Kluyveromyces lactis: one gene and its partners. The protein of the gene in region 2 interacts with the protein of the main gene of each other region in a pairwise test. Links are inferred from orthologs where the notes say so. Each region holds a gene or a part of one and is shown on either strand. Other genes may lie near its edges. The genes, in order: CHS7, CHS3 and SHC1.

Region 1 (2,638 bases), about 370 kb from region 2:
TGTTGAAAAATTCAAGGTGGTTCAATCCTTCCAGATGAGAATTGCCGAATGGCAGCCATCGAAGCAGAGACGGCAGCAAGAGTGAAAGGCGAACAAGTCCAGACGAGCAGGCGTTACTGGCCCCCCGACTACGCAGGTCCAAGCTAGCCTGGGCGGGAAGCAGTAGGCAGAAGCAAGCATGAATGCGTAATGTGTTGGCAAGAGAGACTACACTGCCGGTAGCCCAGACCAGACCGACCAGGAGGAAGGTCTGTTAGTGGAAAGTGAGTGATTCGGCCTGGTTAGGCCACACCAATGCCACTAGGCAATGTTATTTTCCCACAGACGAATATAGTCCTAATTGGGAAACAATTTTATTTTTCACATTTCAATTGAACACGAAAATCAATGTGTGGGTGGTTAAGAGAGATTTTATGGTGCACGGATGCAAACAGTCACAAGAACCGTCTTCTGTCTATACAAGCTTTCTTTTCAGGATACTAAACCCTTGAATGTCGACAGCTTAGACTGACGCGCATCAATTTCTTTTTTTCCTCTTTAATTGGTTCAATATACCGGACAGCGTTAACACAAGAGAACGTACCTTAGAAGGACGCTGCCACCAAGGGTCCGGTTTTCTTGCCGGTCCCTTCTCAAGGATGCTCAAGTAAACTTTGCTTCGGCAAGCATGTTTTCGGTGCATGTAGATTGACTTTGGTAGCCATCCTGATGTGCCTCGGCCATCCGTCACGTCAGAGCACAAAGATTCAATTATTCCAAATCGGGAAACCTACTGAAAAACCAATTGCCTATAATACAAGAATGCGAAACATTGAACAAGAAGAAGAATAAAAAGAGTAAATAAGAGAGGTTTCACAATGCTTGAAGCACAAAATTCAAGAACCTCTATTTGGACTCCGTTTTTATTGGTTCGAAGCCATATATTAGAACACAAGGGTTTAAACTTCCTTTGTGTGCATTGAGCGAAAGGGCGAGCGAAAGAAGTTATTAGACCGCGTGAAACGTGCTCCTAATTATAGCAAAGAGATGTCTTTTGGAGATTTCAGTAAGATCTGTCAGAGGACCCCGTTGCCGCTTTGTTCAGTTGTGAAGTCTGCAAAACAGATGGTGTTGACCAATGATACTACCATCAAAAATTCCAGGTTGGATATTATAGATTTAGGGATTATACCAGTATGTTACGCCAGATCCATTGATGTAGCAAATACGATGATCTTCGAGATTGGGAACGCATTCATCAATATTGTTGCATTTTTTCTGTTGATCATTATCATATACAACGTGCGGAGGAAGGTGACAGCAATTGGGAGGTCAGAGTATAGTTACTTCTTTCAAACTTGTTTGGTTTTGATTATCTTCACTTTAATTGTCGATTGTGGTGTTTCTGCTCCAGGTTCTTCTGCATATCCATATTTGGTATCCGTACAACTGGGTTTAGCCGGGGCATGTTGCTGGATGCTTTCAGTACTTGGATTATTAGGGTTCAGACTATGGGAAGATGGTACTTTCAAGTCAATGTTGCTCTTATATGGGATGTCCTTTGGTGGATTCATTTTGAACTTCGTTGTAAGCATAGTTACTTTCAAGGAATGGATACAGAGGAAAAGCGATATGTCAACAGACACCATGGGATTATTCACAGTAATGTATGTCATTAATGCGTTGGCTCTACTTATCTACATCATTTGTTTATTGATAGTGTCAGTGAAAGTCTTACAAAATTACTGGGCTACAGGGGCCATTCTCCTCGGTGTATTCTTCTTCGTGGCGGGCCAAGTTCTAATATATGCTTTCTCAAACAATATATGTGAAGGTATGAATCACTATTTGGATGGAATGTTCTTCGGTAGCTTATGCAATTTGTTTGCAATTATGATGCTGTATAAAAACTGGGACATGAGTACCGATGATGATTTAGAATTTAGTGTCAGTATTGACTCCACTGAGTACAGCACTTTCAACTCCGATATCAAACTGTGAATAGAAACTCTTTCTCATAAACATTCATTTCCCCCTACATTTTGCATAATAAACATTAAATAAACGGCTTCAACGACTACAACGACTACAAGCCCCTCATGCCGGTTAATGTTCATTCATATTTAACAACTTTGTAAGTAATTAGATTCGTTTTTGTATTTCATTGATAACTGACCTGTCATTTCCGCTGCTCATCCTCTAGCCGGCTCTTAGCTGCTCGCAGTATATCCCTGTCCGATATGAATGAAAGATCGTTGATGATTTCGTTGGAGTTGAACGGGTATTGGCAGGTTTCGTTAGTGCATATTGTCACCGCATAGTTCTGTTGAATCAAACATCTCTGCAAATTGCTTTGACACTGCGGACATTTCAAATCGTTCTTCGGTTTTGACATATGGATTTATCTTAGTATAGGTGTATTTATGGCGTGGTTGTTTGGACACAATAATGGACGCTATACAACAGCCACCTCATCTCATCAAACTTCACAACTTTCTTTGTCAGTTAGATATTTTTCGTTCCCTTATGAACATCTATCTCTGTTGAAAAAATCCAGAAAATAGAAAAGGTTAGCAAGAGGTTTTACCAACATCATTGAGATTAGCACAGATCTTTCGACAGGACTTCAAGCCCTGAAGCATTGAAACTCGAATTGAAA
Region 2 (3,762 bases):
CTGGGAAAACCTTAGTATCTGCATCAACCATTAATACTGTTTCATAAAAATTAGCCATTAACCCTGTAATTTGCCATATATTTTTCATTAGTTGGAACTCTAAAGCCGACATTCTTTCATCAAAAGTCACTTTTTGTAGGAAAGACATCAATATAATTTGTGAATCACGCTTACCTCTGTTACCAGGCTTCGCTGAGCCTTGTTCTTCAGCTGTACCACATTTTACAATGGTGATAATTGGAACACGTTGCTGATTTTCGGCGGGTATGGTGGATTCATCGTATTTATAAAACCCAGCATATATTTTTGCCATATTATGTCTTTTTGCGCCAACTGCAATTGCAACGTAAGGATAAGCTGTAACTTGCTCCTTGGGAATCACAAAGTCTTCCATCATATCTAATACTATGTCCGGGGTGGTTCTGTCATTACCAGAACCTTTAATAATACCATCGCAGATTACAACGATTAATTTATGAGAGTTTGGATAATCTGTGGTTGCAATGGAATCTAATGTTGTTCTTAAACCTACCTCATCTTCTGAATAACAGGTGACACAGCAGAGTGAGTGAACCAATGGAAATCCATAGGGCATGAAGTCTGGGGGCGGCTGTAATACTGCATCGGGGTGAATGATCGTTGGATCTAACGATTCCATAGTCATTGAAGTACCGAAAGGATCAAGATTGTCGGAAAAAGGATTAATAGTGGAGACCGGTCTTGACTGCGAGGCGAATCCAGCATGTGCACTTTTTCTCTTCATTTCATTCATATATGCTGATTTCAGCACGGATTGTGTAGTCATTGTAGACATACCAGTACTTTCAAGGCTCTGAATGACAGGATCATTCAAGTGTACAGATTTACCCAATGATTGTTGGCTAAATCGGGATTTACGGTTGAATAAACTGATACTGGAGCTGTTTTTTTTATGATTTTTCTTCATTGGTCTTAATGATGGATCAACGGGCTTCAAAGGACCACGAGAATTGATATCTTCTGACCAATCTTCTAAGTCGTTATTATGTTTGGCGAGTTGTTTGTTGTCAACAGTGTACGCACCTTGTTTTTTTGCTACAAAGTAGTGGAAGTAGCACGCGATGAAGAATTTACAACCGACAACGGATAGAATGAATACCAAAGATAAATATAATACCACTTGAGAAGCAATACAGCCGATACTTTCTGAATCAATAACACCAACCTTAGCAAGTTCAACGAGACAACGGGCTACATTTCTTTCTCTGCTAGTGGATAAGACCAATGAAATGTCATAACCTTCTAAATTGGCTGATTTCAAGACATCAAATGTCTCTGGATATGTAAGATCGTCAGTTTCTAGCCAGTCTAAGATCCCCAAATCAATAACGTCACCATTATATACAATCAACTTTCTCGTAGAATTTTTAATATCCTCCCAGGAGAAGTATACCTCCGCCGGGGCATTAAGGGCATAGTACTGTTCCCTGGCAGTCGAGCTCGTGTGACAACCCCAGCCAGCGTAGTATTCTGACTCTGTGAAGTTAGGTTTACTTGAACCATCTTGGTTAACAAGTTTGCATGGGAAGTACCATGCCATATTTCCGTCGTCATCGAAAGGAATAGTAGAATTTTCTCTTGGTTCAATCAACCCTTTGCAGTTACCGTTAACGTTTTGGAAAAGGAAAGACGCGTCCATGCCACCAGCATTCACAGGAGGATATAGAATATTAGATCCCCCAGGGATACCAGCTGCAGCTGGATGAGAAGAAGATTCTAGAGAGTATGCCTGTCCATGAATAATTAATTGTCCTGTGGTGGCTTCATTGTTGCGCATCCTTACTTTGCCTGGAACACAGACAGTTCTTGTGAACCCGAAAGTCAGGTAAGCGACAAACGCTCCAATATAAAAGATGATTGAAATCAACCCAATTTTATCTCTCCATGCTCTTTGAACCGCTTTTGTCTTCATGCCAAACAATTTTAAAACGGAAGGAGGAATGAAGATTGTAATCAAAAAACAGTACGATTGCCATAACGAAAAGCCCACTTTGGGCTTGTTTTGATCTTTGGCCTTAGATTCTAACCTTTGTCCGATCTCTATTGGAGGAGACACGTTCTTTTCTGAATAAATACTGTTTTTCTTTTCAAACCCATCGCTACCCTCCATTACCAACCTTTCATTTGGTTCACCATATTCACCCACTGTGTTCAAAGAAGAACTTGGAAGTTTATCGTTTGACTGTACATTCAGGTCTTGCATTGGAATATCCAACGAGGACTCTTCAGGCAAAGCACCTGTTGTGGAAGGATTGATCTGAAGATGAGTTTCCTTCGCTTTTAAAGCATAATAATGGTATGGATGGTCTGGATCTTTAAAACTATTTCTTTCAGGTCTGACCAAAGAGCCTTGTCTTGAAATCTGTCTCTGAGACCGAGATTTCAACAGTGACTCGTTGTCAAATGCATAGTAATCATCAGACATGAGGGTCTAAATGATATTGTGTTCAAAATGAAGAAATCGGACAACAAAAAAAACCACAGTCGAAAATAAATAGATATATGACCTCAAATGATGGTAGAAAACAGCAGTTAATATCCGTAATGTGAAATGAATAGAACAGACAATGTTGCTATTATTTTATTGTCAATATTTTTTTTCCGAGTTTTAAGTCAATTACTATTTTTATCACAGATCAGATTCTTTAGTATTGAAACGAATGGGGACTAAATGCACCGAATGGTATGTATGCAACACTCTAACCGCACGTATGATAAAAGCAGAAAACAACAGGGTATCTTCGAAGGGAAATCTCACGATTGGTGCGCAGTCTGCAACATGTAAATATTTCAAGAATTAGACATAAACAATGACAATAATATTAATGTTCTAATGCTGATGATGGAGATGATGGTTTCTGTGTTAGCTTTTTCGAAACCTGGGATTTACTTCAGATTATATTTACCCGGATATTTCATGGGAATGGCGTCCATTCTTTTACCCGATTGGGTTAAAGGACTTGTCACGTGAGGCTACTCCTAATCAAGAATTTTCTCGGATATTCCGGAGCACAAGCGGTGCGTGTGTTCCCGGGTTCGAATCTTTAGGGGACCAGTAATATATATATATATATATATATATATATTACGATGTGTGCTGCAACAAGTTACAGAGTAAAAGAGATCGACACATGAGCCGGTGATGAGGAAAAAAGCCTGATCCAAGCAACCACGGCAAGTACCGACCTGAGATCTCGGGTATGGTGATCCTGTATATGATATGATTATCATGAACTTTTTTTCCGAATCTGATTCCGTTCTTCGAATTGGCAACTGTTTAGTTTATTTGGAACCCTATCTCGCATTTGATAACGTCGCAAAAAAAAATGGACTACCTAGATAGAATTAGGTTAAAGGCTGCAACTCGATAAGCGAGAGATATCGATAGGTTGCAAGATATTGACTATAAGACATGTTTCAAAACATAAATATATATATATGTATACTAGAGTTGGTATTCTTGTTTGTCTCCAGGTTATGATGTTCCCTTTCCTGTTCAGTATGGAGCTAGTTTGAGCTACAAACAATACATAAACATCAAAAAAGAAAACTTATGACATCTACCATTGCTCCAACAACTACAACTACAACTACTGATTCTGCGACAGGCACAATCAATCTCGTCGGCCATGTTCCTTTGCAGATTGCTCCTGGAAGATTGAACGATACAATCTTATCTACCGGCAGCGAATTTGGAGGTGTTGCCAGATGGGGTGAAGAACG
Region 3 (3,762 bases), on a different chromosome or scaffold from region 2:
TGTCATTTCTTTGCCATTAAGATATACTAATAATGATGTATATGCATTTTCCGAACTATTTTACTGATATCCAGATTTTAAATACAATGATTTATACATTGAGATGGCCGAGGTCTATAAGTTCTAAGAATAAACTGAGAAAAACATGCAGTTGCTTGTAGATAGTTTCCCTATTTCTACTTAGCTCACATAATCACGCAACCTTTCTTGGTCTTTTCCCCATTCTTACGTTTACTCTTGCTCTTTAAGTTCTTCTTAATTGAATCGATGCCGTTCTTTTCATTTTCTCCAAGAGCTGGTTTAGTTTGAGGAATGGAGATCTTGTCCAATTTGGGGTCAGAAAGAGATCTTAAATTAGGTGTCTTTTCTACATCCTGGTCATGTAAGCTCTTCTGACCACTAGCTGACAGGGTATTCTGATGTTCCATCGCAGACTGCTTTTGTAGTGAAGCAGACAATGTGCTTGGGGTTTCTTGTTGTGGATGCTGCAGTTGTTCAACGGGTATCGAATTGTTCCGCTTATTTTTCTTAGATGGATCCGTCAGATTTTGCTCCATATCAACAAAAGTTCCCGGCTTATCATCTTGGTCCAAATTCAGATGGAACGATTTTCTTTTACCCTTTTCTTCATTGTTGTCCAGTAAGAAATTGAAATTAAATGTACTTAAACTCTTCGACTTTCTTGAGGAACGATCTTTAATCTTCAGTTTGTTCAAGGCTCTCGGATCCTTGTTATCAGCAGCTAACTGATACCATTTCATAGCATTTTCAGTGTTTGGTTCACATCCTTTCCCCTTTTCATAGAAATATCCAACTGTGAATTGAGCCTTCGGATAACCTAACTTGGCCGCCCTCAGCGCCCATTCAAATGCTTCATTGTCATCGGCAACAAACGCAGGCTTAGCTCCGATTAGATACCATGCACATAACCCCATCATAGCCTCTGGATCCCCACCGTGTGATGCAATTGTATAATAATTTACACTAAGAAGTGTATCCTGTGGAACTACTTCGTTACCAACTTCGTATATTCTCCCCAAATGAGTCGCAGATGGCGTATGTCCCAATGATGCGGCTTGTATGTAAAGTTCCATAGCATATTTTCTATCGGCAATCAAGATATCAAGGAAACCAGTGTCATAAATCTTCGCCATCTCATACGGAGCCGCACAAGTCAACCTGTTGGCTTTTGCAGCCGCACGAGACAACCATTTCAAACCGTTCTTCTTCGTATTGAGATCGTCTGAAAGACCCATCTTAGCGTAAAATGCGTACACCCCAAGTTTAAACATGGCAGCTGGATGGTTTCTGGATGCAGCAAACTTCAAAAATTCGATGCACTTACGAGAATCCCTGGTAGTACCTATCCCTTCCTCAAAACATACCGATGTTCTATAAGCTGCTTCGACGTGCCCATGTTTTGCAGATGCTTGGAAAAGAGAGAATGCTTCTTTTTGATTCACTTTCCCAAAGACACCACTAGAGTAAGAATCTGCGAGTAAATATTGTGCATCTTTGTAACCTTTAACGCTCAATTTCTTAAGATAATGTAATGCTTCTTTCAAGAATTGCTGTCTCTGCTCTTCCACGGTTAACCCGTCTTCATTTTTTTTGTCATCAAATTCGGTGGGGTTCATAGTTAATGCAGTTTGTAACATGTACTGACTGTACTGGAACAAGACATCCGGGTTCTTCGATTTCTTAACATTTTGTTTGTACATTTCGATGGTTTTCTGACGAGATAGTAACGAGGCAGCCGAATCATTACCTAAATATGTGCTAATTCTCTTGTGAGACTCATCTGCCACAAGTTCATTCGTGGACGTGAATCGTATGTCCCTTTCACCACCGAGGTATAAATGTGAAAGATCTACGGATCTTGATCTTCTGTTCGGATTCTCCGCATTTGAACTAAAAGAAACAACGGACTTTACCCGTCTATCTGAGCCTCTAGAACCGCTAGAAGGTATAGAATTCACAGACATATTCCCATTGCTCGATTCAGATCTCTTATGTTTCCTGATATACTCAGGTGTCTCATTTGGAGGTGTGTTATTATTTGAACGTAAATTCGCGTACTTTTCTCCGGTTACTGTAAAACTAGGCGAGCTCAAACCGGACAAAGCCCTAGGTTCCTCATCATCGGCTTTAAAGTCAGCAGAAGAAACATTACCACTAACTTCAAGTTCAGGGATGTCAACCACCATAGGATTCAGTTCAGCTAAATGCTGTGCGTATGGATGGACATGCGAGGCTGATGCTGCCATTTGTAACGTTCGATTTATCAATTATATCACGAGAATCGGTCAAAAAAATTATCAAAAAAGAGTCGTACTTAAAACCCCAAATAACAGAGTGCCTAGTGACAAGTCTAATATATCGGTAGCACGCTTCTCCGCTCTGTCCCTCCTGTTTCTTGCCAGAATATGTTCTCTCGCAAACCTTTGTTTTACAAAGTTAACGTGTTTTATATAGAAATGCAAAATTACTCTTTCTTGTCTATATGTGGAAATGGTGAAATTTCCAAAAATTTCGCTTCAGATTGTTGACGTTCGGAATTCCGGTGTGATGAGGTAAAGAATATTAAAAGAAGTCAAGCCTATTAATAGCACACTGACATGGAGAAGTGTTTGTAGCTATGATATGCAAGTCCCTTAAATGAAAGGATAGTCGTCCCTTTTCGCTGAGGGAATTATATGCGTTTTATGCGAGCATTTAACAACTAGAGAGGGTTTGCATGAATATACATATAGAATAACGTGCCCTATGGACTATTTATAACACGAATGATATGAACAAATAAATGAGAAGATAGATACGCAGTGGGGTTTTACTAGCAACGTAGGAAATTGAATGCTATATTAAAAATGTGGATTTTTCTTTTTATTCTTTTTTTTTTGGTGTTATGAATAACCAGGTAAAGAGAATCAGATCAATCATCGTCTTCCCTTGGATCTCCGATACCATCCTCGTAGATCGCAAACACACATTCTGCTTCAGGCAAACATGGTGAGTCTACCACTTTACAGTATCTCTGTGGACCTTTCCCCTTCTTGAATCCAAGACGAGTAGTGGAGGAATGAGCCATGATATTACCACCAATCGGTTTTTTTGGATCAGGGTTAAACATCATTCCTCCGTCAACTTGGGCCACAACCTGATTTGTCACTACCGCTGCGACACCAAACTGATCAGCTAGTCTTTGTAATGATCTCATGAACTTGGCAAGGTGCATCTGTCTTGCACTTAACTCACCACGTCCCGAGAAGTCGGTTCTGTACAATGCCATAATAGAATCGACAATAATCAGCGAAAATCTTGACTCACTCATCATCTGTGCAGCTGCGTCCAACAATTTCAATTGATGGTCTGCGTTATAAGCTCTTGCATATGCAACGTTATTTAAAGCATCGTCAGGGTCCAAACCGAACCTCTGCGCAATCGAAACCAACCTAATCGGTCTGAATGTACCCTCCGTATCAATGTACAAACACTTGCCTTCACCGCCTCCCATATCCAAAGGTATCTGGCATGTGACAGCCAATGTATGGCAAAGTTGCGATTTACCAGTTCTAAACTCACCAAACAGTTCAGTGATAGATCCGGTTTCTATCCCTCCGCCAAGTAGAGTATCAAGATTTTTCGATCCAGTAGTTAAACAGATCATTTCGTTTCTACGCAAATGAAAATCAGCCGCAGTGACAAAACCCATAGGCACTAGTCTCGACGCTTCAGCGAGTAACTTATCAGCTTTAGCCTCTG

What was found.
Region 1: the proteins of CHS3 (region 2) and CHS7 interact in binary tests that used the Saccharomyces cerevisiae proteins (3 or more experiments, as listed by UniProt). The link is inferred for Kluyveromyces lactis from reciprocal best matches to the Saccharomyces cerevisiae genes CHS3 and CHS7.
Region 3: the proteins of CHS3 (region 2) and SHC1 interact in a two-hybrid assay, tested with the Saccharomyces cerevisiae proteins (3 studies listed by BioGRID). The link is inferred for Kluyveromyces lactis from reciprocal best matches to the Saccharomyces cerevisiae genes CHS3 and SKT5.

Annotation. Positions count from the first base shown.
Region 1 is NC_006040.1:672,803-675,440, forward strand, and holds CHS7 (Chs7p), read left to right. Parts: upstream 1-1,026; coding exon 1,027-1,980; downstream 1,981-2,638. Other genes in the region: KLLA0_D07876g (uncharacterized protein), read right to left, coding at 2,159-2,374. UniProt on the Saccharomyces cerevisiae protein: Chaperone required for the export of the chitin synthase CHS3 from the endoplasmic reticulum.
Region 2 is NC_006040.1:302,313-306,074, forward strand, and holds the start of CHS3 (chitin synthase CHS3), read right to left. Parts: upstream 2,465-3,762; coding exon 1-2,464. Other genes in the region: KLLA0_D03520g (M20 family metallo-hydrolase), read left to right, coding at 3,593-3,762. UniProt on the Saccharomyces cerevisiae protein: Polymerizes chitin, a structural polymer of the cell wall and septum, by transferring the sugar moiety of UDP-GlcNAc to the non-reducing end of the growing chitin polymer.
Region 3 is NC_006041.1:1,799,611-1,803,372, reverse strand, and holds SHC1 (Shc1p), read right to left. Parts: upstream 2,268-3,762; coding exon 186-2,267; downstream 1-185. Other genes in the region: recombinase RAD51, read right to left, coding at 2,933-3,762. UniProt on the Saccharomyces cerevisiae protein: Activator of the chitin synthase CHS3 which polymerizes chitin, a structural polymer of the fungal cell wall.